2 linked regions of the Diceros bicornis minor genome follow. The protein of the gene in region 1 binds, or shares a complex with, the protein of each later gene. Links are inferred from orthologs where the notes say so. Each region holds a gene or a part of one and is shown on either strand. Other genes may lie near its edges.

Region 1 (15,534 bases):
GGTAGTGATGAGGTCAGTGTGGAGCTCTTTGGGGTGTGCTTTAACATAGACTCCACCCGGTAGAGCAAAAGAGTAAATATATGGATGTCGAGAACCCGAATTCTCACTGTGGAATGGGGGAAGGTGAGAAAGAACTGTGATGCTGGATTGGAATTAGGGATTGCAGTATGAACTCTTTTTTGTGTGTGTGTGAGGAGATCAGCTCTGTGCTAACATCTGCCAATCCTCCTCTTTTTTTTTTTCTGCTGAGGAAGACTTGCCCTGGGCTAACATCCGTGCCCATCTTCCTCCACTTTATATGGGACGCCGCCACAGCATGGCTTGACAAGTGGTGCGTCGGTGCACGCCCAGGATCCGAACCGGTGAACCCTGGACCACCACAGGGGAGCACACGCACTTAACCACTTGCGCCACTGGGCCGGCCCCGCAGTATGAACTCATAAAAATATATATTTCTGGGACTGGTCTGGTGGCATAGTGGTTAGGTTCACGTGCTCTGCTTCGGCGGCCCAGGGTCCACAGGTTCGGATCCAGAGCACAGACCTATGCACTGCTTATCAAGCCATGCTGTGGCAGGCGTCCCACATATAAAGTAGAGGAAGATGGGCACAGATATTAGCCCAGGGCCAATCTTCCTCAGCAAAAAGAGGAGGATTGGCAACAGATGTTAGCTCAGGGCTAATCTTCCTCACACACACACACACACACACACACACACAAAAAATATATATATATATATATATATATATATTTCCTAGTTCGAGCCAGTGAAAAAGTCTAGAAGCAGTGACACCCCAGTAGCAATGAACACACCCTGCACTCAGACCTTGGTTTCTCAGTATCGTTCTCCACTCAAAGGACCAGAGCTCCCTGGAGAAATGGTGGATTCGGGCCGGCCCCGTGGCTTAGCAGTTAAGTGCGCGCGCTCCGCTGCTGACGGCCTGGGTTTGGATCCCGGGCGCGCACTGAAACACCACTTCTCCGGCCATGCTGAGGCTGCATCCCACATACAGCAACTAGAAGGATGTGCAACTATGACGTACAACTATCTACTGGGGCTTTGGGGGGAAAAAAAAACAAAAAAGTAATGGTGGATTCTAGGGCTGGGGTAAGAAATACACAAGCTGAGCCTGGAGCACCTTGTAGTGCCAGAAAGTCAGGAAGTGCTTGAACAACAGAAGCATGAGGCATGTCAAAGGGACTCAGGAACTAACCCGAGAGAAGCAAAGCTAGAACAACTTGAGCATCTAAAAGAATATGAACGATTTTGGAGAGGAGCATGACTGGGAGGGGGCACCAGGGAAGGTGCTGGAGTGCTGGTGGTATTCTCTATTTCAGTCTGGAGAGGATAGATACATAGGGTGTTCACTTTAAAGGTCCATTGCACTGTACAGTGATATGATTTATGCACAGTACTGCATGAATGCTGTAGACCAATAAAAATGACCCCAAAATGACACTCTTGGATTCTAAGTTGTTGAATAAAAAAAAACGATGCATCCACCATGATAATTGAGAAAAGAGAGCAGGGGAAAAGGAAAGCTCTTCATAGAGAAATGCCAATTAACAATTGTAGAAAGAAGGAAAGCATCAGAGGGGCCAGCCCCCTGGCCTAGAGGTTAAATTCAGCATGCTCTGTTTCAGCTGCCCAGGTTCAGTTCCTGGGCGTGGACCTACACCACTCATCTGCAGCCATACTGTGGCAGCGATCCACATACAAAATAGAGGAAGATTGGCAACAGATGTTAGCTCAGGACAAATCTTCCTCAGGGAAAAAAAAGGATCAGAAAACCACTGTTTTGCAGCCCCCAATGCAATTCCTTCTGGTCAGGCTCATCCTTGGTTGGTGAAACCATTAGATAAGGATTGTTGCGCACAAGATATGGACAGGGTCTCAAGGTATTACCCCAGATTACTTGTGCATTAAGAAGAGAACATGCAATTTTGCAATGGGGAGACCTGGCAGCCACCACCTTGACCACGTGATCAAAACAAACCGAGCCTCCCCCACAGTGGGACCACCTGACCCCGAGTGCCTGCTGATGCTGTTGAGGGAGAGGGGGAAGGAAAGCAACTTGTCAAAGTGCTTAAGCTGAATCTAACAAGGAAGGAATCAGGCAAATCCAGACTCTAGAACATTCTACAAAGTAACTGCTCTGGACTCTTCTAAAAATATTGTTGACAGATTGCCTATGGAGAAGGGAGAGTTGGGAGAGGCAAAGGTGGCCTCCCACTTCCTGTCATTAAAAGCCTGGCTGAGTGGTATTGCCATTCATTGAGCCAGGTCGTGGAGAAAATGTGGGTGCTGAGGGGCTGCCCAGCACTGGCCATGGGTGCTAAGAGGGAAGGGACTGTGTCTTTCAGTCTCAGTGTTGCCAGCATTTGGGACATGGCGGGCACTCAGTGAGTGTGTGCTGAAGGAATGAGTGAGGTGTTTGCAGGAGAGCCAAGAGCTGTCTTGGAGTCCCACCCTGGAGATGTGGCCTGGAGCTCAGGAGAAGGGCCTGGATAAGCCACAGACGTGGGAGTGAAGCATAGAAATGGAAATGAAGGGTGGCCCAGTGGCATAGTAGTTAACTTTGGGTGCTCCACTTTGGTGGCCCAGGGTTCGCAGGTTCGAATTCCACACACAGACCCATGCACGGCTCATCAAGCCGTGCTGTGGCAGCGTCCCACGTACAAAATAGAGGAAGATGGGCACAGATGTTAGCTCAGGGACAATCTTCCTCAAGCGAAAAAAAAAAGAAATGGAAATGAAGGTGGACAAGCTCCCCTGGGGAGTAATAGAGAGAAGAAAAGGGGTCCGGGGACAAAGCCCTGGAACCCCCCAACATTAAGAGGTGGAGTGTGTGGGAGGAAAGAACCAGCAAAGGAGCCAGAGAAGGAGAGAGCAGTGAAGTGGAAGAAAAAGCAGGAGAGTGAGGGCAGAAGAGGGCGGGAAATGAGGAATGCCAGAGGCTTGTGGAAGGGGCAAGTCCCCAGGTGCCCACGGAGGCCGCTCTGCTCCGCTTGGTGAAAAGAGGCCATTGTCTCTCCCACAGGCTTTTCAGGGCCTGGAGGTCTGAGGCCAGCGACAGCTGCCGCATCTGCTCCTGGGAGTGCCTGGCCTGGCTAAGCAGCGGCCTTGTCAGACCTATTGGAGCTGGCCAGGCCTGTAAGGCGCCAGCAAATTGTGGGCACAGCTGATCTGTCGCCTGGGCACCTCCAAGTCAACGAGTCCCACCCCAAAGCAAATGCTGCTCTCCTCTGAGTCTGCTCCTCCTCCCATGTGCCCTTGCGAAACGGCACCACAAGCATCTCATTCCAGGTGCCAGACCATTTCTGTCTGAGAGGCCACTTCAGCTGGGCCCTTCCCTCATTCTGCTGTCTCCCAGTATCATTGCGATCACAACAGGGCCTGCAAGCTGCACCACGTCCCTGGGGCTCAGGGACTGTCCTGAGGCCCCTCACCTAGGGGCAGGCTGTAGGTCTCAGGGCACCATAGTGGGTAGGGGACAAGGGGTAGCGGTGGGTCAGCACCCACAACCCAGGTGGACACTTGGATCAGAGGAGCACCATGCCTGCAGTAAACATTCTGACCCCTGTTGAAGGATCTCAGCATTTGGGGCCTGCAGGTGTACATGGGGCCACCCCCCAGATTCTAGGGGCAAAGGTGTGGTGCAGTCTGCAGCCACTCCATCTTCTCATGGAGTCCTCAGTCTCCTCTCATGACAGCAGAGACCAGGACCCAGAGCCTCCCCGGTACCAGGGCCTCCCATCTCTCATCCCTGCAGCATTTCCTCCCTCTCTTGTTTGCCAGCCTCCAACCTGCCCATCCCTGCCCTGCCACAGCTACATACTCCTGCACAGACAAGCTTCTGGAATGAGGGGTCCCCAGTCAGTCACCATCACTGACTCCTCCCCTGCCCATCCTGCAACTGCTTCTTGCCCCTCAACATCGCGGATGATCTTCTTGTTACTAATGCCAGAGGTGGCTCTGTCCTGCCCTAATTTTGCCTCTTGGCAGCACTGGACAACTCCCCCTTTCTGGAGGGGCGTTCCTGGCTTCTGACACTGAGCTCTCCCTGTGGCCTTGTGTCTGAGCATGCTCCTCGGCCTTTACCAGTTGGTAAACTTCCTCAAGGTCCAGTCCTCTCCTTTTTTCATGCCACACTCTCGGGGAAGCCATCTCATCCGTCCTCACAGCTTCTAGGACATCCTGTCCACAGGTAACTCCTGAACGTCATCGTCGAAGGCTGCACAGGGCTTTGGAATCGGACCGGGCCTGGGTGCCAGTCAGCTCTTCCGTCAAGGTTCCCACCACACACCCTGAAGACTCCACTCCAGTCTCCATGTCCAGCCCCGCCGAGCTCCTGTCCCCGTGTCCAACTGCCCAGTGAATGGCTCCTAACCACCAGATGGCTCTGTCACTTCCGAGCCGAGAGGTGCTGGCACAAGGGACTCAATGACCATCTCTAGGGTCTGTCTGAAACTTGCATCTGCGTGTGTCACTCCCCTGCAGTGGACCAGTCAGCCATTCCTGCGGACCTGGCTTTTGTTGAATCCCCTCTCCCTCCCACAGCCCATGGGTGTCCAGGGGGCTGGCCTCCCACTGTCCACCTCACGCCCAGCCAAAATGATTGGTGGCACAACCCAGTTCTGACCAATGAAAGGACAGCGTTTATTTGTCAGGGGCATCTGAGAAATAAGCTACACTATAGGGCGAGAAGGTGCTCCTTGCTGGCTGTGAATGAGGGATTCAGTGGAAGCTTCAGGGCAGCCATATTTGGATCTTGAGGCAGCGGCCTGGGATGAAGCAGACACTGCAGAATGCAGAGGGGAGGTAGGAAGAAACTGGGTATTTGCTGAAATTGTTCATCTGCTGCCAATAGGCCTGGACTTCTCAGTTTCGTAAACCAGTAAGTTTCCTTTATTGTTTAAATCAATTTCCTTTACGGTTAAATCAATTATTGGAAACCAAAAGCAGCCTAGCTAATATAGTTCCTTTTGGATAAAAGTCCAAGTCTCACATTCACCTTGAGTGCTATTTAAAATTTCAACATCAAGTTCCTGACTCAAAAGAAATGAGAGCATTGCTAAGTCTGTCACATGAGCTGCCAGACCACACGGGCTCCTAAGTGGGCCCTGTTTGCTATTCCCAGCTCTCAACTGGGGTCAGGGGCTTCTGTCTGCTCCTCAAAGCCTTTGCCCATCAGACCTCTGTTCATCTTCCCAGCCTGGGGACCCAGCGTTTGCCCCAAGAGGCCCAGGCTGGAGGGCAGCTTCCTTCCAGCCTTAACCACCCCGGATGCCCTCCTTTAAGAAGGAGGCTCGTAGATGACCTCTAGTGCCCACACACCAGGGAGGGTGGGAGGACCAGTGCCACTAGCCCATGCTTCTTCCCCGTCCCTGGCACCCGAGGTTTCGTCTCAGGCAGTGAGGGGTGTGCAAAGTGAAAGCCCTTGTACACACGTGGCAGGGGAAGGATCCCTTCCACGCTATGGGTGAGCGCAGGGTACAGGGGCCTGGCTGAGGCCTAGCTCTCGCACTGCCTCGTTGAGTGACCTCAAGCCAGTGACCTGTAATTCCGAAGGGGTGAGAACTGCCCGTGTCCAGGAGGGTACAAGCGGGGGGGGGGGTGCCCACATAAGAGCTGTGACACAAAAGGCTCGGACACCCCATCTCTGGGCCACATTTGGCCATCGCTTGGCTTTTGGCCTCAGTTTGTTTATGGAAAACAAGAGGGAGGATCACCGCCAACTCCTCACCCCAGGGCTGGGGTAAGGATGAAGGAAATTGACTGAGGTTTAAGGACTGGCCCTCATTGTGCAGAGTCAACAGCTGGGGACCAACGTGGCACAGGGACTTGCTTGAAGTCATACTGCAGAGCTGGGCGACGTTCATCCCTGATTCCCCAACCTGCATATCTTGCGTCGAGTGCACTTGCTGCAGCAGCTGAGGGGGCTCCGGGCTGGCTGCCACTTGGCCTCCCACCAATGCTAGACCTGCCAGAGGTCAGGTGACAGGACTGGGCAGCAGGGGCCAGCTGCTTCCCCTTTCAGACCTGGAAAGGAGTCGCTCGAGGGTTTATTCTCAGTGGGCTAAACACAAAATGCCAAAGCCCATCCCTTGGAACCCTTCCAACAGCCCGTTTCTCCTTCTCACCCTGAGGCACTTCTAGAAGCTGGCTGGACTCAGGTTCTGGCTCCATCACTTCATTGCCAGGAGCCTCAGCTGTCTCACCTTTTGTGCGAGGTGCCTGGCACCTAGCAAGAGCCAGGGAGGGATACTTGCCAGCTATTACTATTATGAGCCAAATTGCAACATGAGAACACATTTAATGCTACATGCAGCTTGCAGCCTGGCGGGCTCCTCCCCACACTCAGAGAATCCTATTTGGAGAACCCTTTCTCCATAGCTTCAGTCACTTCGGGGTTCAGGAAGCGGCTAGCCAAGCGTTCGATGTCATCCAGGGTCAGGCGACTCAAGGACCTCTCATAATCCTGAGGGGAGAAAGTCAGGAGGATTCAGGGGGTGCCAGCGGGCAGTACACTGTGACAGAGGCCAGGGGTGGGAGCAGCAGGGGCAGAAGGGGATGGGCCAGGCTACCCTTCTCACCCTCTGTAGTTGATCCAGGACTCTGCTGGCATCAGCAGCACTGAAGTGGCGGGCCAAGACTTTGGAGATCAGTTGCCAGGCGGGTGGGGGTGGGGGTGGGGTCTCGGCCAGTCTCCGGGCAGCGCTTTCTTCCAGTAACACCTTCTCCAGAGGTTTGACCACTAGGTTGAGCTTGGAATTGGGCCCAATGCTGTAATCGGAGAGTCTTTTCCCATCTGCCAAAGAGAGATTAAGTTGTTACCCACAGCGGCAAGGGTGGCCTCAAGGAGCCCCAGCAGCCGGAGTGCTGCCGCATCTGGCTGAGGAAGGTTCAGCAACCTCCCCTCAAGTGGCCAGCGCCCAGACCCTCACCGCTGCCCGGGCTCGGCCTGGATATCCTGTCCCCCGACTTCCTGCGGGGCCCCTGGGGCGTCTCCTCTCTCCGGTTACCTGCCAGGGCCTTGCCCTTGAACAGCAACCGCTGCTGGCGCACGGGGACGTTCAGCTTCTCGGAGACCAGATGTTTCAGCGTGGACACCAGCTCATCCTCCGACACCTGGCCGGGCCGAGGGTGGGAGGCAGGGGCTGAGCCCGAGTTCCCGCCGAGGGCGCTCTCCCGGCCTCCCCGGCGCGGCTGGCCCGCCCGCCCCGTCCCCGTTCCCGCCCTCGGCTTGCCCGGCCCTACGCCCGGGGCTGGGGTTGAGGGCGCGAGCCGGCCCGGCGACGGGGCCCGGCGACGCTACCTGCAAGCTGCACTCGCGGCCCTGGAGCGCCTTCACCGTCACCTGCATGGCGGCCGCGGCGGCGTCCACTCCGGCCGGCGCGCACCCCAACCGCCCCCCCGCCGCGCGCCGCCGCCCCGGGCGCGCGCCGGAACCACCCGCCGCCGCCGGAAGCAGCGAGAGGGGCGCGCCCGGCGCCCCGGCCCCGCCCCCTCCACCCCCGGAGGAGGAGTCCCCTTGATGTCCCGCCTCGCCGGCGCGCAGGGACCCGCCCCGGCGACAGGTCCCCCACGGCGATGGCGCGGGAAGCCCGCCGGGACAGAGAGGAGGAATGGGTGGGGCCGGCCTCGTCTGGGGAGGAGGGAGGGCCACCGGCGGAGCAGGGCAGCGCCATCGCCCGGTCTGTGTCTCTCAGGAATCCACAGACGGCCCAGCCCTGCCAAGCTTACCCCAGTGCCCGCGGCGGGCCTGCTGTCTCCTTTCTAGTCTGGCTGAAGAAAACCAGCTGAGCTTGGGAGCAGGCAGGAGCCAGGCCTCTGCCCGCATGCTCCCGTGGCTCATTCTAGAACAGAGAGGCCCACCTCTCACAGAGGGGGTGCGTGGAGAAGGAGGGCTGAGAAAGAAAGTCTGCACAGAGATCACCGTGTCACCCAAGCCAGTCCTCCACGCCGACCCACACCTACCCAGCCACACCCTTCCTACCCCCACCCCCAGGCCTTAAAGGGCAAAGACGGGAAGGGACCCAAGCTTGCTTCTCTCTTTTATTGAAATATATTTTCTGGGCAGTGCCTACCTACCTAAGTCAGCATAGCCTCTTTGGCACTGAAAGCTGGAGAATAAAAAACCAGTAAAAAAAAAATCAGCCTGGACTTTTCTGAGTGCATAGTGCATGAGAACTAAAGGCCTTTGGTACACAAGAACTGTGGGGACAGTGGGTGGAGGGTGGGGGCTAGGGGTGGCAAAAGCTTGACCCAGGGGCCTCAGGGAACTGGGCACAGGCTGCTATAGATGAAGTGGCCAATGACCAAGGCCAGCATCTCTGAGGTGCCACTCAGTGCCACGATGAAGGGGGCCTGGGAGGCATAGTTGGCTTGAAGGCGGCGGAGGGACAGCTGCAGCATGGCCAAGGCCAGCAGGCTGTTCTGCACCCCTACCTCAATGCTGACTGTCCGCCGCTGGGCCACTGGCAGCTTCAGGCATGTGGCCAGGCCGTAGCCCACCAGGAGGCCAACCAGGGGCACTGTGAGGCCCACCAGCACGATGGGCAGCCTGACGCCCGCCAGGATGAAGACTCCCATGCGGTAGGCCAGGAAGAGGCCACCCAGGAGCAGCACAAAGCTGAAGGGCTTGATAACCTGCAGCAGCAGCTGGGAGAACTTGGGGAGCTTGGACTTGATCACTACGCCTGCTGCTATGGGGATGGCGATGAACAGCAGGGTCCCCAGGATCTTGGAGATGGGCACGTGGAGTGTTTCATGGATGCTGAGCAGGTGGCTGTAGATGGCTGAGGACAGTGGCAGGAAACCAGTGGCAGCCACAGTTGAGATGAAAGTCATGGAGATGGCCAGAGTGACATCCCCTCCAAGGAGGAGGCTGAAGAGGTAGCTCCCCCCGCCGCCAGGCGACGAGCAGGTGATGATGAGGCCCAAAGCCAGGGCCTTGGGCAGCATGAAGACCTTGGCCATCAGGAAAGCATAGAAGGGCATGACCAGAAACTGACCCAGGAGGCCCAACAGCATGGGCTGGGGGCTCTGCAGGAGCCCCTTCAGAACCTTGAGCTCCACTTTGCACCCGAACGAACACTTGTTGACAAAGATAAGAGGCAGGAGCAAGTAGAGTATTGGGTTCTCTGAGAAGTGGACCAGGTCGGCGCCAAGGGTGGCAGGGGCGTCTTCGGCAGCAGGCGAGACCTTGATGCAGAAATCTCTCCGATCCTCAATCAGCATAGGTGGGGCCTTGTGGGGATCCACGAGCTGGATGTGGAGTGGGGCTAGCCCAGGCAGGCCTGAGTGGATGCTCACCACAAAGCCGCCCCCCCGACCCCAGGTTATGGCACTCACATTCTTGATGGTCAGCACCTCTGTGTCCAGGGAGGTGACTCTTAGCGTGGGGCCTGGCACCGTCCTGTTGCCCTGGCCTGGGTACTGGCTCGAGATCACAATGATGCCCTCGCTCTCTTCTGGGAACTCAAACTCCATCACAGAGCCATCCCCAATGCTCAAGTAGCGGCCCTCTGTCAGTGGCACAGTATGGCCCAGAGCCGTGCTGAGGTTGGCACTGGCTGTTCCCCAGGCCCCCCATGGCAGGCTGAAAAGCAGCAGTGCAGTCCTGAGCATGATTAGGTGGCCTGTGCAACCACTGCCCCCTCCCAGGCCAGGCCACTGCTGGGAGCTGCCCCTGCCCCTCCTAAACACCATGGCTCTTCCTGAAGGCTGGCGAGCCCAGACCCTCTGTGGCTTAGGAGAGCAGTCCTGCTGGTACCGTTGGGTTGTCCTGAGAAGGGTCCATAGGCGGGCCCTGGCCCTGTGCTGCCTTCCTTGATGGCAGAGCTCTTCCTGAGGAGGAAAGGGACACAGAGAGGGGGCTGGTGAGGGCGAGCAGCTGTGAGCCCAGGAGCCTGGGGATCTGGAAGCCCACTGCTGGGAGACTCAGTGGGGCCCCTTGCCCCAAGCCCGGGAACAGAAAGGCAATGCCTAGTGCTGGCCCTTGAGTGCCATTCGGCTGTCCTCTCACCCAGCACAACTGCCTCAAGCTTCCTATCCCTCACCCAGAGGACACACTCACAGATAGCAGTTCCCGTTCAGGCTGCTGCTACCCGCTCATTTCCCTGGACTTGCCCAGCATGGTGACCATGCAGAGACATCCTGATACCAAGGGATTCGGGAGAGCCACCCCCAATCCTGTCACCACTAGCCTGTTCCCCACCAGCTTCGAGACGCAGCTACAGCAGGGCCGCAGCAATCCCACAACCACGATGAAATCTCTGAAAGGCTGCCCAGGGATGACAAGGAGACAAGCTTGATGAGAGCAAAGGGTGCTGATACAAACACTGGCTTGCTGGGGCTGACCCGGTGGCGCAAGCTGTTAAGTACGTGCGCTCCGCTGCGGCAGCCTGGGGTTCGCCGGTTCGGATCCCAGGCGCGCACAGACGCACTGCTTGGCTAGCCATGCTGTGGCAGCGTCCCATATAAAGTGGAGGACAATGGGCACAGATGTCAGCCCAGGGCCAGTCTTCCTCAGCAAAAAAAGAGGAGGATTGGCAGATGTTAGCACAGGGCTGATCTTCCTCACAAAAAAAAAAAAAAAAAAAAGAAACACTGGCTTGGGCCAGATCTGAGAGACCATCAGAGTGCAGGTTAGGGCATTTGAGTATCATCTGCCAGGAAGAAAGCAGCTGGCAAAGTGGCGTGGGCAGTGGGTGACCATCCGGCCGAAGGCCCCAGGGGCTGATGTCCACCACCAACGTGCAGTTGTGAATGGTGCCACCATGGTTCCCTGGCCTCCCCTACCTGCTGACAGTGGGGAGATGGGGGTTCTTCTCTGGGGAGCAGGTCCCCTCTCCCCAGAGAAGTCACCAGAAGGGGCAGCAGGAGGGGGCCTGATAGGACCACATGTCTGCTGGGGGGCTTCTTCTCCTTCTGTCAGAACTTCCACTCCTCTGGCAGTCCCAGAATTTGAGCTCCTAGAGCCACTGTGTCACACCTGAGAGGCTCTGCTCGGAGTCCAGGGGCTCCTCCCCATGCCCACACGCACCCTACCAGAGCCTGGAATGCCCAGGGGGACTATGAGTGTTTCTCATGGGCGGGGTGCCTCAGGGTGAAAGGAGGAGGTTTGGGCAGCCACCATCCAATTGCCACATCACCTGCTGGGACTGGGGCAACCAGGATGGGGACACTGGTTTTTCATCACTACTGTTGGTTGCCTCACGCCCTGCAGTGTCCCAGTCCTGGAAGAGGCCCCTGCCTCTGTAGATCCTGACAGTCTTTGTCCCTGCCCCCACTCAGCCATCTGAGACTGGGGAGCGCGGGAGGCAGGAGGTGGAGGGCAGGTTAAGCAAAAGGCTCATCCTTGGGAATGTCTCCCCCCAGCCTCCTGGGATGCCATGGTCTTGGCTGGTTTGGAGTTTGGGTCACTTACCCTGGAGGCCTTGGTCCAGCCTTGTGTCCCACCGCTGAAGAGGAAGGCAGGCAAACCAGAGGGAGTATGAGAAGCAAAGTGAAGGGGAGTCACAGGGAAAAGATGAAGGCACCTGGGACTGAAGCCACCGCGGTGGTGTGAACCAGTTCAGAAGGGAGAGGAGGCTAAGGGTCATCCACCCTGTCCTTCCAGTTCAGCTGGCGGCTTTGAGTCACTGCAAGAGGGGTCTGGCCCAGATCCCACACCATTTCTGCTTGAGGGGCCAGAAGAGTTTGAGCAGATGCACCCCAAGGCAGGGGAAGGAACCCCAGGCTGGCTGCTTTTTCCACACTGGCTGAGTGTTCGGTGTTAGGGCAGTTGGCAGTGCTGACTCGGGGCTCCTCCCTACCTGGGAGTCCGGAAGTTGTCGGACTGGGCACGAGCAGAGCTCGGGCGCGAACCCGGGACGGAGGGAAGGAGGAGGGCGCCGCCGCCGGACTCAGGCTGCTGCCCCGTAGTCGCCAACCGCGACCCGGAAGGCGGCCAGGCCAGCGGCCCGCCCTGGCGGTCTTGGGTCGCGGAAGGCGCCCTCAAGCCACTCCCAGGCTCCGCGGCCGCGCCAGGCCTCACGTTCTCGCGGCGGCGGTCCTTCCCTGCCGGTCCCGGCCGCCCGAGCGGGCGAGCGCGGAGCCGGGCCGGGACCAGAGGCTGCCTTCCGCCCGCTCTTTCCGGCCCGAGGCTCTCACCTGCTGCCACGGCCCCGGAGCTCGGAGCCAGCGGGCCTGCCGGGCCGGCGGACGCCTGCGAGCTCGGCTGGCCAGGGCCCCGCCCCGCCTCGCCCCCGCCCGCGACCAGCCGAGGCCCCGCCCCGCGCACCCGCCCCGCTTCCCCCACGGCGGCCGGCTCACCTCTGGCGGCCGGGGCCGGTTCCGACCGGATGTGACGTATCTGGGAGCAACGAGCCGGCGCGGGCGCGCTGGCTTGGTCGCTTTCCGGGTCGCGGTTGGTCGGCGCTTGGTACGGCTTCGTGCGGCCGTTCAGCCGCCTGTCCGACTCTTCTGTGGTTGCCGCCGGGGCGACGCGCTCCGATTAGGGGCCACACTCATTCCCAAATACACTGAGACCTCTGGGGGCAGTGAGACACACAGGCTTAGCCGTTAGCAGAGCTGGGACGCCCAGGGGCTGCTGCTAGTGGCGGGATCCCAGGATCAGGATCTGTCTATATTTAAGACATAGCCACTTTTGAGTTTTCTACGGTTGCGCATCATAAAATCTGTGCCATCCTGACTTGAAGGTCATCTGGGCCCCCAAATCCCAAGTCCCAATTAGCCAGGGCCTCTGTTTTGTTTTTCCAGAGTTCATACAGGTAGACTGCAGAGCCCCAAAGCCCTTCTTCATCTCTTTCAGGGCCAAGGATATGGAGGGTTCCAAGTCACAGATAGACATTCCAGTTTGTTTTATTTAGAAATCATCCTCAGGCAGAGCTGCAGGGACAGGCCTCTGTGAAGCAAGCATCTGTCACATGTAGAAACAGGCCTTGAAGTCCTGGGGCTCTCCAGGCAGATGGGCTATGCATTGACTTAAGGGTGACATGCCAGTGAGCTTGGCGGGTGTGTCAGACAAACTAGGACAGTTACCCTGGAGCTCCCAAGTCACCATGCTGTTCCCACTCAACCAGTGGCTGCTTCACAAGGATTGTTAGGGCAGTTGCTTGTCCTGTGAAGTCTGTGCCACAAGGTGTGTCTGAACTGACTGCTCCAGCTAAGTGATTTCAAATATGTTGAGAATAAAGAGCCTCCTCAGAATGTACACCTGTGTGGAGACACAGGCAGCTCTTTTGGTCCCTTCCTCCCAGGGTGCAATGCTCAGTAACTCACAATTCATGCAGGCCTCTGCTCTGCGTTCCCGCTCAGGGCGCCCAGCCCTATGGCTCGAGGGCTGAGTCCCAGTGACCCGGACTCCGGGGCCCAGGCTCGACCCAGTTCCACCTTCCTTTGTTCAAGCATTGACCAAGCACCTATTTCACACTGCGGAGCATCAGTGGACTTATCCACCTTTCAAAACTATTTGGCGCTACCAGCAAGGTCCATAGGCTTCATGGAAAAGGAATGCAAACAGATGGTGTAAGGATGGGCAGAAAGGTGGTGAGGGTGTAGAAAAGACATGGGAAGACAGTAAGCAAGTGCATAGTGGAAGGGGATTTGCATGTTCCCAAAGGCTGCTGGGCAACTGCAGTCTGCCAGCGCGCTGGTCAGTGGCTACCCACTGCTCTGGAAGAACCTCTTGTCACGGCTGTGATGGAAGCCAGTGGTCCCCAGAGTTACAGGTACTTTGCCCCTGGAGATGCACACGACACATCATTGAGAATGTCCCAAATAACCCCATAACATCTCTATTTTTAATTTTTCAAATAAATAATTTTAATAAAAAATCTATTATTTAAATGTAAACTTAAATACATCTTGTTTATTTAAAAAATTTGGTGTGTTTTATAAAGTTCAGATTAGTACATGCATAGGATATCTAAGCAGATATACACATGGTGGGGGAGCATGCTTAAGAGGGCTTGATTTATGTCAGTGATCAAAAACATTCAGAGGTCAGAGCTGGCCACGTGGTGCGGTTAAGTGCGCACGCTCCGCTGCTGGCCGCCTGGGTTCGGGTCCCTGGGCGCACAGCGACGCACTGCTTGTCAGGCCATGCTGTGGCGGCCATGGCGGTGTCCCATATAAAGTGGAGGAAGATGGGTATGGATGTTAGCCCAGGGCCAGTCTTCCTCAGCAAAAAGAGGAGGATTGGCATGGATGTTAACTAAGGGCTGATCTTTATCACACACACAAAAAAACACATTCAGAGGTCATAGCTCTAGGCTGTTCATTAGCCTCAGAGGACCAGTAAGGCATAAGCCATTTGTGTGTGGACTTGGTGTCCCGGAACTATTGCACTGTCCCTCTCAAATAGGGTTGTAGGATCCTGATGGAAGCAGGCTGGCACAGGTGAGAGGGCTGGGCTTGGCTCATGCTGCATTGAAGACTGCAATTTGCAAAAGAAAAGAGCAGTGGGGGTGGGGCTGTCCGAGGACAGGGTAAAACTAGCCAGAGGGAGAAGGGGAATGGGTTGGCAGGAAGAGCTGGGGAAGGAAAACCTAAAAGAGGTGTCCTCCCTGGAGGAAGCCTGTGTTTTTATATTCCAACTGAACGGGAATGGGTGCTGGGAGTCAAGGAGAGCAGGTGTAGTGAGAGGCTGCTCCCCATTGTCGTCAGTCACTTCAGCCTTCCCTGAAAAGTGGGAGTGGGCTGGTGGGGTGTCTGACATGAGGGAATTTGGAGGCCTTCTCTGCAGGAAAAAGGGACAGCTTAATTAAAGGCAAGAGAATGTTTGTAGTTGGGTTAGGGGATTAATAATTTACCCCAGTGGCTTGGCGGTTAAGTGCACATGCTCTGCTGCTGGCGTCCTGGGTTTGGATCCCGGGCTCACACCGACGCACTGCTTGTCCCGCCATGCTGAGGCGGCGTCCCACACACAGCAACTAGAAGGATGTGCAACTATGACATACAACTATCTACGGGGGCCTTGGGGAGAAAAAGGGATAAAAAGGAGGATCAGCATGGATGTTAGCTCAGGGCTGATCTTCCTCACACACACAAAAAAAATAAAATAAATTACCCCAGAAGAGGAGGAAGGGCTCTACAAATCAGTCAAGGATATCTAGTTCCAAAAGAGAAGTCATCTGGGGGCCAGCCCTGTGGCTTAGCAGTTAAGTGCGCACGCTCCGCTACTGGCGGCCGGGGTTCGACCCCGGGTGCTCACCGACTCACCGCTTGTCCGGCCATGCTGAGGCCGCATCCCACATACACCAACTAGAGGGATGTGCAACTATGACATACAACTCTCTACTGGGGATTTGGGGAGAAAAGGGGGGAGGGGAAGGAGGAGGATCCGCAATATGTTAGCTCAGGGCTGGTCTTCCTCAGCAAAAAAGAGGAGGATTGGCATGGATGTTAGCTCAGGGCTGATCTTCCTCACAAAAAAAACCCAAAACAAAACAAAAGAGAAGTCATCTGGACTGAGAGAACAGATAGAACAAACGATAGGGTCAGCCAAAAAAGAAATGCACTTC
Region 2 (14,755 bases), on another chromosome or scaffold:
TTGCAGGTGAAGAGAATTAAGCTTGGGAGGGTGACGCATCCAAGGTCAACAGGGCTCTGAGGGGTGAACTAAAACCTCCATTTTCTCTGCACCCATTAGGCATCTGCCTGCGTGAGCAGTCACCCCAGGTGCCCCGGACACCATGCTGGGCATGGGGACAGGCTCTGGTCTCTGCCCACGGGGGACATCTCCACAGCTGGACTCCACTGAGGTGCCGGCCCTCGATAATACTTTCTTTTTAAGGCATAAAGAGGGATCCACGAGAAGGGGTTTAGTGATCTCACACGCAGTGCCAAGTTCAGTCCAGAGAACGTATCTAAACAATATGCCACAAAGCCAGGGTCATTCAGTTCTGTATTTTAAAAAATGTTTCATTTTTAAAGTCAACGTCAGCAACAAATAGTACGCTCAGAAGCTCCGAGGTGCTATAAAGTACAGCAAGTCGTTGTGACCCAGCCCCCTTCAAATTCACAGAACACTCCGACCCAACGCCCGGCTACCAGATCAAAGTGTCTCTGTGGGAGGAAATAAACCTCTCCCCGTGACACATCTCCATCAGGAAGGGAGGATGGGCCCAAGTCGGGAACAAGCAGAAAGGGAGGCGCTTGGGCGGGCGGCCCTGCCTGATGTGGGCGCTCACTGCACAGCCCACTCAACCGTTGGACGTTTCAACATCTCAAGATGACTGCTGGAGAGAAAACGGGATGAGGAGGCCAAACGGGAGCAGAGGGACAAGACAGGATCCAGTGGGAATGAACGCTGGCTGTGAGAGGCGCTATCCACGTAGTGAAGCGTTCAGATGCACAAACCTCTGGAGAGAACAGCATAGCCTCTGATAGCCTGCTCACCCCACATCCCCAGATACCAGGTGAAACTTACTAAAGACGTGTGTCCTACAAAAGAAAGGTTGTCTGACACTGAAGAACCCCCAAAACATAAAAGAGTTAATAGGGAAAAACAGAAAATCGATGGTAACAGAAGAATGTTAATTTAAAACATTAAAACTCACTTCTTTTACTGCTCAATTGAAATCTTACAAGTGCCTGAGAATTCCGCTGGCTTAAGAGAGTTGAGAGGGACAATGTCTGTTGTCCCCAAGAGGTCTGCAGCAGGGGTTGCAAGGGCAACACTCGAGTGCGACCCTAAGTGACTCAGTGATTACCCTCCCACGTGTCTCGGTCAGGTGATGAGGTGACCAGCTCAGAGGCTGCCTCTGGAACCCCACAGCCACTGAAGCAAAGAGGCAACAGGTGCACACAGGTACCTACTGTAGGACAGCCTGGGCCACAAACATGTCCACCTCGCTGCGGAATCCCCTCGAGGTGGAATATTCCACCAGCATGTTGGCACAGCCTTCACCGTCAGTGGAGTGCAGGAAGTGATATCGAGATTCACAATAATTTTGTTCTATGAAGGCAAAAAGAGAAACCCGTCAACACAGACGTATCACAAACATGACGTATCAGGGGGCCTGAAAGACACCACTGCACACTCCCCACGCACCCGCTCTCGTTCTGCACAGCACTCCCCCTGCTCACACCGAGTGCAGCAGTGTAGACAGCGCACCGTCCTGCACACGGCAGCTCCACCAACATCTCACCAGCCACCTCCAATCCAAAGTCAAATACAAATGGCCAGACAGGGCAGGTCATTCAGCTCAGCTGAGTCATGCCAGCTGCCCCGCGTTCCCACATCAACATTTATATCAGCCGAACCGTGAGAAATGGCCAACAGGGACAGACTCTTTTGACCTACACGGATAGCAATTTCATACAGACATGATGAAACGAAATGCAAAATCCTGACACCAAGTCCACTGACCCCGACACACAAGCACCTTGAATCCCAGAGGAGCAGCCAGGACCGGGTCGAGGCCCGCCTTTCTCCCACAGGCCCGTAAGTCCGCCAAGAGCCCGCAGCCCCGCTCCCAGCCCATCCGCTCCCGCTCTTTCTTCTGCAGCACTTTCCACCCTCGAACAGACTCTACACTTGAGTTAATCGCCATGGTTACCGTCTGCCCCCCTCCACAAAGAGCTGAGTCCCATGAGGCCAGGTCTCATCGAGGCCGGCATGGAGCAGGCACCAGAGAGAAGCTCCTCTGGATGCAGGGCTGCTCATCCCACTGGGAACAGGACCAAAGTGCCTGTGAGAACCAATGGGTCCTGTATGCGGCGGGATGGTGGCGAGCGGCCTGTCTCTCCCGTCACCACCACCCTGGACTTGCACCTCTGATTTGTGCCCAGTAGAGGCTGGACTGTCCCCACTCAGGGCGGGGTCACCTGCGAGCTGGTCAGGAGGGTGGACTCTCCAGCCCTGAACTGGACCTGCATCCTAACAGCTCACTCGTGTGCACAGTCAAGTCTCAGTGGCCCTTTCTCAGTCCACGTGTCCCGTGGCCACACCTTTCATCAAGGCGCCAAGTTGCAGTGCTCACAGAGCGAGAGGGGAGGAGGATGTGAGCCCACTAGGGAACACGTGTCCTCTGACGCTGAGCTGTTTGAGCATCTCTGTTGTCAACTGGCTGATGGTCCCGACCTGCCCATTGCCAGTGGGCGTCAGGCTGTGAACTGGGCCTCCCATGCCACTCTGCCCCCCGCTCACCACTCACAATGCCTCTGCTCTTCTCCCACGTGCTGCCCCCTACACCAGCTCCTCCCATAGTGATTTCACCCCCGACACAGGACACTTGGCAATGTCTAAAGACGATTTTTGCTGCCACAGCCGTAGGTGCCCTTGGCATCTAGCTGGAGCCCAGGGACACTGCTCAGCACCCTGCAGTGCACAGGACACCCAGAGAGTTGGCAGCGCCAAGGCAGAGACCTGGTTCCAGGCCGAACCACCACCAGTTCCTGCTCAGACACCCCAGCTCCTCCAGGTCACCTGCCCACAGCCCGGCCGTCTCCCACAACAGACCGATCACCCCCTGCCCTGCTCACAGGCCACCCTGGCTCCCACTCATCCTTCCAGGGTAAGGTGCCGTGCCACCCGCCCCAGCCCGGCCCCGTGTGCCTGCTCTCTCCCATCTGCTACTGAGAACATAAGTTCCACCCAGGGAAGGCAGCCCCGCCTGCCCTCCAGGGCTCTGCATGAGCGTGGCACCGCCCCCACCACCTAAAAGGCGCTCCTAGCCTGGCATTAGCTCTTGGCACCCGGCTACTGCCTTCAGGAAACTCAGAATGATACGGAGTCAGCGTTCCTTTCTGCAGTCGTGTTTCGTTTGTCTCCCTTCTCTCCCTCCAACCCACAAAAATAACCTTTTGGTTTTAGAGCATCCACATGAGAAGAAAAATGAGGCAGGTAACTAAGCCCAGAAGTTCACGCCGGCATAGGGCCCCCTCGGAGCCCTGGAATGGAACCTCAAACACCGCATGTGGCGAGGAATGTGAATGGGGGCAAGTCGTGAACCCCAACCAACAAGGCGCAGGCAGTGGCCCCAGGACGCCCAGCAGAGAGCAGTTCTGGCCTCATACACCTGCCTGGAGGGGAGCCCCATCACTGCCTTTCTCAGGCTGGGCTCCCGCAGACACCCCCAAGCACGGCCCCTCCACACGAACTGGACACCCACACAGAACACTGCACATCTCTCCTGACAGTCTGTGCTTGAAGAAGAACATTCAACTGTCTCTATCCTGAATATTTAACACTGTAACAATAAATACACATCCTGAACCACCGAGGCCGAACCATCATGGTTCGCACATTCTGCTTCACAGACGCAGGGTCCCCATGGGCCCCACAAACATGGGCCGGGCAGGAGGGGTGTGGAATCAATGGTTGCTGGTTCCCACCTGCACATGCAGGCCCGACTCCTCTGGAAGACTTTCCCCACTGCCCTGTCGGGCCAGCCAGCAGATGGCCACGTGGGCTGCAGAACGGCACTTACCAGGCGTCCCGCACTGAATAAGACGGACTAATTCTGAGGGCAAGAGGGCGTGCCGGGGGAGACAGACAACAGCCGGGAAATAAATGGGCGCTGTGAGCGAGTAGCAGGAAACCTACGCTAATGAGGATGGCCCGGACGGGCCATGGGTGACATCAGGTGAGTTCTCAGGGATGAGGAGGAACCGGCTAGAAGCGCTGGGAGGAGGCTGAGTTTGGAAGAACGAGGCGCCCATGGGGAATGTGTGGCCAGAGGGAGGAGGGAGCCCGCTGGCTGTTGTGCCCGAAGGCGCCAGCTGCTCTTTCTCAGTAACGTTTCTTTTCTGGGTTAGAGTTGGGGGAGTGACTCAGCCACATCCTCTAAGAAGAGCTTCCTTAACTTTCTGGACTTCGAATTCTCTCAGGTCTGACCCATTATTCTCATTAATGTCCCTCTGGGGTGAGGGCAGGGCTGTGCCAACACCCAGAGGGACAGAGGAGCCTCACACCCCGCCTGCCACAGCAGGCGGGAGATGGCGAGTGGAGCGTCACCTGCCCCGAGAGAAGAAGGGACAGGCGAGGAGTGTGCTGCTGGACGAGGACCTGTGCATCAGCCCCACGGAGAGCAGAGGGAGGAGCACGCCCTGGGGTGGCTGGCTTGTGGAGCAGACAGACATTTACCCCATCCCCTGCCCCGAGTCAGAATGGCCGTTCCAGGAGGGCTGGCTGTTGTGGGTGCTATTCACAGGCTCATCTGCACTCACGTCCAGAGGAGAGGTGCCTTCAGCCCAGACCCTCTGAACTCTGACAGCTTCAAGCCTCGAGGCCCCGCCCTCTGCGCCGCAACGAGTCCCTGACCAGCATCGCCCTCTCTCCACTGGGCCCACCAGGTGACGTCCAGTGAGATGGGCGCACACACTTATATCTGCAACCAGGGCACGTGGAGGACCCAGCGAAAGCAGCTTTCTAAACCCCACCATCAGCCATCTTTCTAGTCACTCAACCAGCAGCTCCTCAGTGCCCTTCCCTGTGCCCAAGCAGCAGGCTCGGGGCTCGGGACATGCTCCCCACCCTCACGGCCTGACCAGTCCCCACAAATGCTCATTAGAAGATGTGACAAACGCTAAAAAGAAAAAACAGCGCCTGGCGCCGTAAGAGTGCTGGTCTGGAGGGACGTCTCAGGAAGGAGGACCCGTGGTGGGAGGAGCGAGGCCGCTGCCATGAGGACTCACAAGCCCCTGAGAGAGAAGGGGGCAGCCAAGGAAGGGTCACATGTGAAGGGCCAGCCCAGCGCGGCCGCCCTGTCCTCCCCGCTGCCTCGGCGCTTCTCCTTTGAGCGAGGTGACTCCACCGAGAGGAGATCCGCTATCAAGGCACAGACATTCACATTTAGCAAGACAGAAAAAACCCAGCCCGCGTTATCTCCGAGAGCAGGATCTCCCCTCCTCATCAGCTGTGGCAGATGATTCCAACCAATTAAAATGGAAAAGCAAATAAAAGCCAAAGGAAGCAGAGAGAGGGACACCTGCTCCCTGGACCAGCTCGCTCCCAGCCCTCTGGGAAGGCCCTCGGGCCGCCCACTCCCACACTTCCGAGAGCCGCTCTGCGCATGGGCTCACCAGGGCCTACCTTTCCACAGGGTGAGGGCCAGCAGCTGGTGGAGCCGGGGGTGGCCCAGTTTCCCGGATCCTCCACTGGACCACTTCAGGGCTCTAGACACAAAGGCCACTCGCTCCGGAGAATTTGGATCCATCAAACTAAACAGTTTAGCCAGATTTTCTAAAAACAACACAAACACAGACTCTTACCCAAAGGAATACACCACTTCTTCGTACAGTGCATCTTACAAAAATTCATTGGAAACAACAATTATTTCACTGCAGTAGAAAGCTGAGAAGCAACCTGCGTGTTGGTGGTGTCCCAGCGTACCCCCATGGGTCCTGGTGCTGTTGGGGGCCACCCCCAATTGACCTCCCCGCAGCAGTACCAGCAGCCACTGCTCCTTTCTGGCCTCACGGCTTAGCCCGCACTGGGGAGCTGGGCGGAGGGTGGGCTGCGGTGGGGAAGTGAAGCACCAGGCTGGCAAAGACCAGGAGCAGGACCCCTTCTTCATCTTCCCAGCTGGCAGCTCACAAGATGGGCTCCCCAACTGCATGCTCGCCAGAAAGGACAGGCCAGCAAGCCAGGTCTCTGAGACAAAATGACGCCCCACCTTGCCCACTGGCTGGCTGGGAGGCCATTGTCCATCAGAGCAGTGGACAGTATAGGTGGCTCCCGTGTGTGTGTGTGTGTGGCTACGTGAGAGCAGCCATGAGACCGTCTCGAGTGCACAGTAAGAAAGCCTCACCCAAGAGCTCATCGGCCACCTCGACGTCTGCCTTCTCCAGCGACTCTAAGACCAGCATGGACAAGTCTGCAGCACTGTTTTGCTACAAAACATGGAAACGAACAAGAATCCCACAGTTAGAAACAAAGCTCTGGCCGTTTTCAGAATGCACGGCAAAGCGAGGCAACTGCTCTGGGTTCCAGGTAGAAACCTGTGACAGAACAAAGCTGAGAAAACTCTTCTGAGCAGCGGAGTCACTTAGCAACACAGCCCGGATAGCTGACTCCCAGCCTGGGGTACACCCACAGAGAGCCGGGGGCCCTGCATCTGTGCCCCTGGACCCAAGGACACTCACCCAGCTGCAGGCAGAGCGGCCAGCACCAAGGACAGCCTGAGGTCATCCACCAGGTCTCTCCCTGGACATTCCCACCCCAACCCTCAGGCCCCAAGCAAAGAAGACCACGGGAGAAGCCCGCTGCTCACCTGGCCGTGGCTGAAGAACAGTAGCGCTCCTGAGCACATGAGCTCCCGGGCCTCTGCGTGCTTGTTCTGTGACATGTACCTGCAACGGAGACAGAGGGGAGCAGAGCGCCAGTCAGGGGCAGCTACCCACAACGCTTCACGCAGATGCCCCCAGAGTCTAACACACCCCTGAGTTCTGTCCGCCAAGCCACACAGGGACGGTTTCGGAGAGCAGATGCAAAGATAAGGCATCTGCATGAATGTGCGAGCATTATGAAGCTGGCGATCCCAGACACACACACACCTCCCACCAAGAACGGAAACAAGGCTGTTTTCTCTCCTGAGGTCTGCCGCCGCACCGAGTGGTCAAGGCACCCTGCCCCTGGGGTCTGTCCAGGCTCCACACTGGGGTGTCCCACAGCCCAGCTCCCCCTGGCCTGCATGAATCCCCATTGTCGGTGATCTGGGCCTCAGGGGACCAGCAGACCTGTGCCCCCTGCAGCATAACTATCTGATAACAGTGCGGGTGGGGGACCCTGCCTGGGCCCAGAAAGGCCTGGAGCCTGAGCAGCGCCTCCCTGCAGCCACTCCAGGGTCTTCAGCAGAAGGGAGGACTTCCATCTCAGGCACAGGCCTTGCCATGGTGGCAGGTGCTGCATGAAGGGGCGGGTGATGCACCCTCATCCCCTGGAGAACCACAGGTCAGGAGTGAGGCAGGGAACAAGGGACAGTGGGAGCTCAGCACGGAGGCTGACTGGGGGACAGTACCCACAGTAACTGCGTTGACCTCAGTGTCGGCTGCCAGACCACGTGCCCCCAAGCCCCCTCCCTGTGCTCCCCTCTGACTTCCTATGGGAGGCACAGGCCTGGGTGGGCGCCATCACCCTTGGTCGTGCATCACCCTCCCACTTTGAACATGTTTCTCACAAAGTACAGGAGCTGGGAAAAGCTGGTTTCCTGAACTGCAGAGGGACGGAAGCACAGAGCAGCAAGAAGCCTGGCAGGTAACGTGCAGACACAGAACAGAAAGGACGACGGTCCACCTGCAACAAACAATGTTCAGGGAGCAGACCGGGACTGAGCTGTTGCGTGTGGCACAGAGCCCCTGCCCGAGACAGAGAGTGTGAAATAGCAGAAAACGGCTTCCCAAAGCGAGGCACAGCCTCCAGTGGCAGCCGGCACAGCTGGCGCCAGAACATTTAACTCACCGGCTGTGTATTTATCTCAGTGATTATCAGAAAAGAAACATAACCAGTCAACCAAAACTGTGCCTCCAGCCCAAACAAATCCAGTTCAGGAGAGAAAGGAAGTAAGCCGTGGACGGGCACTCTCAGGACACGGCAAGCGCCGGTGCTGGCACAGGGGGCTCAAGGCCGAGCTTCCCCGGAGCACACCAGGGCCACAGTCAGGGGGGAATGCGAACGGCTGGCTGTTCCATTAACCACAGAAAAGGTCTTTTCTTCAAAGAGGCTCCGCAACCAGACACCCCCAGGAGAACACAGCCCCACTCCAGCCAGCACGCAGGGATCCAGCTGGCCCGGACACATGCCCCCATCTGGCTGTACAGAGGTGCGACTGGGAGGAAAAACCTGCATCCCAAGAAAGAAAACCACTGTCAGCCCGCAGGTCACCAGCACAGTCTGTGGTTTCTGCAACAGCGCCGCTGGGGCGGAGTCCTTTTCTCTCTCACACACGCGGCCTGCTCCCACAGCAGCCCAGGTCATCCCAGTCTAATCCTACGGGAGCCGCCCTGCACATGACCTGGTCCCAGCACCGCCATGGGGTGTTCTGGAAAAACAAGTATTCAGAGGTGCACAGCCTCATGCTGCCACCTGCACACACACAGAACTGTCGGCATTTTTCCTAAGTGACAACCACGCCAGCTTGTCTTGGCTTATTCATGACACGACAGAGTTGTAGACTCTTCTATGTGAGGTATAACAATAGAAAACCTCTTAGAAAACCAGATGAAAGAAAAAAAAGTCCCTGAAAAGCAGATAAAATTCTTGGGATAACGGAGCCTGCTTTCAGGAGGCAGTGATCGTGGCCCGTCTCAGGGCACGGAAGCCCACACAGGGGAGGGGGGTGGTGACCCGTCTACTGAGCACACACGCCACCAGGATTCCCACCAGTCATTCCCCACCCAGTCAAAGTCGCTGCTGCAGATCAAGGAAAGCTGGGGCGGGGGGGGGGGGCGGGGGGAGACAGTGAACGGCCACTATGAAAAATGAACGTGCTTCTTCCTGCAGAACTTCGCAAGTGGGAAGGGATCTGTTGAAGGGACTGACCAGGGGTGAGGTGCCCTCCAAGGCCTCAGGGGCTGGGAGCAGCCGGAACAAGACCCCTCCAGCACAGCGCCACCCACGCAGCCCCTCGCCTCTGCAGCTGCGCGTCCACACCTGCGCACCGTCGAAGTTGGCCTCTGCGTCCCCGATGGAAGGACGTTCCAGGCTGGCATGTGCCGGTGCTATCTGCCCACCAACTGATATGGCAGCAGCACATCTTTAGCCACACAGGATCACGTCTGTGCAATTATTCTAGTTTATTTTGTTCTTATTTTTTAAAAAAAGAGAGCAGAACATAGAAATGGAAGCAGTAATATCAGTGATAAAAACTGCAGATGTCAAATTAAGAAGACAGAGGTGTCAAAAGTCTCCGCTAACTGAAGCCCTGATGCAGCGGGGCTCAGGCGAGCTCAGCAACCCCGCCTCAGGGTCGCCCCTAGAACCCGGCTGAGCTGACAAGGCACAGCTGCCCATGTCCTAGCCACCCCTTCAGGAAAAGTCCACCCTCCGCATGGGGTTGCAGAGAACACGCGTTTTAAATTTTCCTTCTAAAAACTTCTTCATTCGACTTAAGAGGCAAAAGAAGGTTACAGGCCACAATCAACAATCAACACGAGTCTCAGGAGGGCCCTGTCAGTAGGAAGCCCCGATTTCAGTTAACTCACAGCGGGCCTGGGCCAGCTGCGGAGACCCCTTGAGGCGACAATGGCAGCACGGGGCCACCATGCCAAGCAGTCATGCCAGCCTCGGGGTTTATTTAACCGAGTACCAATAAACCAACAGGACGGGAAAACAGACTCCCTCCTCGTCCTGGCGGAGAGAGACCTGAAGAGACAAGGTGACCGCCCACTGCCAGCAGCACCACTGACGAGACAGAGCCAAACACAGACGCCCTGCCTCCAGCCCAACCAGCTGGACCGGCGACTACTGCCCACTCCTGTGGAACAGCCCCCCCCCCAAGTCCAATCTGTTGGATTGTCCAACTCCTTCTCCTAACCTCCTTAAACTGCTGTGGGATATAATGTAAGGGAATTAAAATAGTATAACTTGGTAAATGTATCCAACACGTGAATGGATAAATGAACTGGTCCATCCACACAACGAAAGACCCCTCAGCAATGAATGAACTGCTAACATACACATGGATGAATCTCCAAATGACCACGCCAGATGACTTCAGATAGAAAAACAGGACCTACTCTGTTATTCCACGTCTATAACATTCCAGATAAAAAAAAACAATCTATCATGACAGAGAGATCAGCGGTTGCCTGGGGGCAAGGGGTGAGAGATTGATTATAAAGGCAGATGAGAAAATTTGGGGGGGGGGGTGATGGATATTTTCGTCTTGCTTGGCAATACTGTCACAGGCCTGTACATATGTCAAAACTCACCAAGTTGTACATTTTATATAAATACTTAAATATAGATATATATATTTGTAAAAAGACATTAAAAAAAGACTAAAATTCAATGAATTTGACTTCTCCAGGAGTTAACCATTGTAGAGGGCTCTAACCCAGGGCTGGCATCATGGGTCTCAACACGGTCTGTACCCTGGAGGGACAGGGACAACTCCGGGCTATTTCTGTTAGGCCTCCAGGATGGCCACAACTGCCACCGCTGACCTGGTCCACTGCATCCCCCATGAGGCTGACGGCAGATTGCTAACTTCTCATCTCTCCTGGAGAACTGTAGGAGTAGCCCAAATGACACACGAGGAAGCCAAGGCTCAGAGAGGAGCAACAAGGTGTCCCGGGTCACAGGTCATGGAGCAGAAGTGGACTGTGAGCCCAGGTCAAGGCTGGGCTGGTGGAGAGCCTGATGTTCATCACCACCCCACAACGTCACCATGAAATGCATCCCGGGTGGAGGGACTTACCACTTTAAAGCTAATCGACATTCACGTTCCTCATGTAGCAGCCACTGCAGAACTGGCTCAAAACAAGGAGCACCGTGTTTATTTCTGGGATGATCCAGTTTTGCTGATTAATCACTGGGGCAAATATTTATATATATACAAATCCCCAAGAACAGCAAGCACTGGGGCAGACCTTGAGCAGACAAAAGCTTCCCGTCACAGATTTCTGACTGGCTGAGCCGCCTGGCGGGAGGCTCAGTGTCACAGAGTGTAATGCCCACACACATCTTCCTCATTCCTTGAAGAACCATCAACTCACTCCTAACTGGTCCTCTGGGCCACAACGTGCCACATTTAACCCAACCAAATTGGTAAACTACAACCAAAGCAGAAAGCACCACTAGAGTTCCCAAGATATTGATTCAACTTGCTATTTGAAGAAAATTTTAAAATCTAGGCCTAAAAGGTATAAATGCCCGACCCACTGCCCTTAAATATCTTACCAAAACATCTGCTGTTCTGCGGCAGTTGAGAAAGAAAACGCACTCTGTAGAACAGATTAAATCCTCTAAAACTATCTTTAATACATACCCAAGTTCTAATGAATCGCCCAATTGTTTTCTGGTTCCAACTATAAAGGATCACAGATGTGTAATTCACAAGAATGTCTCACACGTATAAAAACGATTTATGGCAGGGGCTGTGTGACAGCAGAAATATTGTGACACACTGCAGGCCAAAAAAATTAATGCAAGCTACACAGTTCGTTGAAAATTTATAGGGCCACACTAAAATAAAAACCACTTTATTTAACCCAGTAATATACAACCATCGTTTCAACATGAAATCAATGTTTTAAAAGTTGCAACGAGTTATTTCACGTCCTTTTTTGCACGCAGTGTTTGAAGCCCGCGTGTGTCTACACTCACAGCCCGTCCCACTTGGGACTCACCACGTTCCAGAAGCTCAGAGCCGCACGTGGCCAGCGGCCAGCGCACTGGGCAGCGCAGGTACGACACCATCAGGGTAATAAAAATAGCTGGTTTAGTAACAACACATAGCATGCGGGTGAGCAAGAGCGACCAAACAAGCAGAGAAACGTGTTTAAACCCTCACGACTGAACTCCTTGTGGGAGGAACCGTGAGACTCCGCGTGGGGGTTTCAAAGGCAACGGCGCTAGGGGCTCGACGGTGGGAGAGCCGGGGGAAAGGAGAGCGGGGTAGAGGACTCAGGCCGGGAGGTCAAGGGCAGGGTCCGGGGTTGGGGGTCTGGGGTCTGGACAGGGGTCCAGGATCGAGGGCCCATGGTCTGGGTCCGGAACCGGGGCTCCGGGGTTTGAGTCCAGGGTCTGGGTCCGGGGTCGGGGGTCTGGACAGGGGTCCGGGATCTGGGGTCTGGGGCGGGATCTGCGGTCCGGGGTCTGGGCCGGGGTCCGGAGCCCTCCCCGGGCCGCCGCACGGCCGCGCGCTCCGACCCTCGGCGACAGGCAGCGGCGCGGGCCAATGGGGGGCGGGGGCGGGCGCCGGCGGCGGAGGCCCGGGAAGGCGGCGGTCGGCTACCTGAAGAAGAGGGTCCGGTACATCTGGTGCGCCTCGTAGTAGTCGCCCTTCTCGACGCTGGCGCGCAGCTTGCCCTCCACGCGCTGGACGCCGCCGCGGTTCCGGGCGCCGTTCCGGGCGCTCTCCTGCTCGGCCATCGCAGCCGCCGCCATCGGGCCGGCGCTCCGCGCAGGGCTGACGCTGTCGCAGGCGCGGTCGGCAGCGCCTCTCGGCTTCCGTCCCGGCGGCCGCCCGACGCCCTCTACGGTGGCCGCGAGGAGCCACGGAGCGCTGGGGGCCGGCGGGCGGACGAGCGGCCACGTGACCGCGGGGCGGGGGCTGCGGGGCCACCACGTGACCGCGGGGCGGGGCTGCGGACCGCGGCTACTTGACCTCAGGCGGGTGCGCTGACCTCACAATGGCGAGCGCACGTGAGGGCGGAGCGGATAGGCGCGGCGGAGGAGAAACTGAGGCTCGGGAGTCGCGGCGCTGCCCTACCCCCAGCCCCCCAGTGCCCGGGAGGGTAGTCGCGGGTGAGGCAGCTGGCGTTCCAGCGACCGCCGACACTTGAACCGTCCGGCCGCTCCAGCGGAGTTTCGGGCGGGCCGCCCGGAGGCCTGGGCGCCGCTGCAACCGCCCGCCTCAGCCGTGGCGCGGGCGCGCCCGGTCGTCAGCCCCGCAGACGGAGGCTCTCGGTTCCCAGCTGGTGCCCGCGGTGAGAGCCCGGGGGCTGTTTGAGGAGCAGTCCTGCCCTGAGAGGGGCCCCGAGATGCTCTGGTGACAGGGAGGGGGGGCGACAACGGCACGTTGAGTGTGCCATCGTTGTGTCAGAAACGGAGGGGAAGCACGTGTTTAGGTTTTTCCTCATACACGCGTGTTTGCAGAAGGATAAGAAAGTGGTGACACGGTGATAGGAACGCTCGTCCCGGGGCAGCTGGTCTGGGGTAACCCTGGCTCGGCCTGAACTAACGCACCTCCGCCACGGCCTCAAACCCAGCCCGTCCACCCCGTGCCCCCGCTGAAGCCAGGAGCGCGGGCAGCCTCCTCACAGGGAGGCACGCGGCGTGAGGAACAGCGCCCCCGCGTGTCTGACGCGCACCCCTTGTTCTAAGAAAGGAGAAACGAATGGAAGCTACGCTTCCCCCGACGTTCTCCCTTTGTGGAGCCGCTTTCCCGACGGGTCCCCAGCGGGGCTCGGCGGAACCCCACCTTCTCGCTCCTCCAGAGAACAGCCGGTTACGGGTCATCTGCCTGGACAACCGGTTGCCCCTGAAAATCGACAGACGGGAGGTGGAGGCAGGAGGGAGCCTTCGCGGGCACCGCTCTCTCCGGGGACCTTGGCGCTCGAGTCCTGCCACCTGCCCCGTCCAGCGTTTCCTCAGCGTCACTCCTCCCGCTGTCCCGACCCCCAGTGTCACCTCCTCAGAGGGCTGCCCAGCCCCTTCTCTCGTGGCACGTGGGCCTCCCTCAGCTCCGCCCTTGCTCGCAGTGACCTCCGCGCGGTGCGGCACACACCGGCATCCGGTAAACACGGAGCGAACGAACTCTGCTCCGGCTTGATGGGGAGCCGTGCCAGCGCCCACCCTCAGCAACAGCGGCCCAGGGACAAGCGCTCCTCCGAGGAGACCCATCCCCTCTTCTCCCAAGTTTCTCCTCAAGCAATCTTCTCTGCACTGCAGCCTGTTCTCCACGTAAGGTGGCCATGGCCCAGGGTAAAGCTGGGGGAGCTGTGTGAGGACACGTCTCCATTAAAAAGCCCGTGACATAGAACGTGGCAGAAAGAACAGGCACATCTAGTCGTTCCTCCCCCAGACCTCCACGGGCAGAAACAAAAGCAAATTGAGAAAAGGGAAATATACTGTTTATTGTTCATTTGAAATATCACATGCACTTTTAAAAATTAAAACTCTTTATTTAAACATTTCAACAGCATCTTATTAATTTGGTGGCAGCAAAGGAAGGACTAACAAAGACAAATATTTTGAAAAGCATTTACAAAAATACATTGCACAGAGTCCTATCCTGCATCATTAAAAATAAATTAATATTCAAAATATTTCCACCCAACTCCCAAATTTAGTTTTATATAAGAAATTTTGATTTATATATTTATCCTGTAATATATGAAACATCTGTATACATTTTATCCAACTTAACTGCATAGGCATTAGTTCCAATTCTAAGAGTGAAAAAAATGCTACTTTATGTAGTTTTTGTATATTTGAGGACTGTTGTGCAATATACATAAAACTCTTAAGAAAACCAGTCAGCACCATCATTTTATCTTTTTCTGAAAATACAACATTTATGGTACACAAAAAAAACTGTCTTAACCCAATAAAACTTTAAGGTAAAACATCTGTGACATTTGACGTGCCTTGCAGACACCTCATTTATAAAGTCTGCTCAATGAAGAGTCAATAT

What was found.
Region 2: UBL4A (region 1) and GET4 share a complex: the UniProt entries of both Homo sapiens proteins name them as parts of the BAG6/BAT3 complex. The link is inferred for Diceros bicornis minor from reciprocal best matches to the Homo sapiens genes UBL4A and GET4.

The regions. Positions count from the first base shown.
Region 1 is NC_080781.1:138,421,431-138,436,964, forward strand, and holds UBL4A (ubiquitin-like protein 4A), read right to left. Parts: upstream 7,424-15,534; 5' UTR 7,368-7,423; coding exon 7,320-7,367; intron 7,133-7,319; coding exon 7,027-7,132; intron 6,813-7,026; coding exon 6,598-6,812; intron 6,483-6,597; coding exon 6,372-6,482; 3' UTR 4,887-6,371; downstream 1-4,886. Other genes in the region: SLC10A3 (P3 protein), read right to left, coding at 8,279-9,715. UniProt on the Homo sapiens protein: As part of a cytosolic protein quality control complex, the BAG6/BAT3 complex, maintains misfolded and hydrophobic patches-containing proteins in a soluble state and participates in their proper delivery to the endoplasmic reticulum or alternatively can promote their sorting to the proteasome where they undergo degradation.
Region 2 is NC_080765.1:13,629,783-13,644,537, forward strand, and holds the start of GET4 (Golgi to ER traffic protein 4 homolog), read right to left. Parts: upstream 8,744-14,755; 5' UTR 7,846-8,743; coding exon 7,574-7,845; intron 7,084-7,573; coding exon 6,958-7,083; intron 6,747-6,957; coding exon 6,668-6,746; intron 6,288-6,667; coding exon 6,206-6,287; intron 5,638-6,205; coding exon 5,488-5,637; intron 1,408-5,487; coding exon 1,269-1,407; intron 1-1,268. UniProt on the Homo sapiens protein: As part of a cytosolic protein quality control complex, the BAG6/BAT3 complex, maintains misfolded and hydrophobic patches-containing proteins in a soluble state and participates in their proper delivery to the endoplasmic reticulum or alternatively can promote their sorting to the proteasome where they undergo degradation.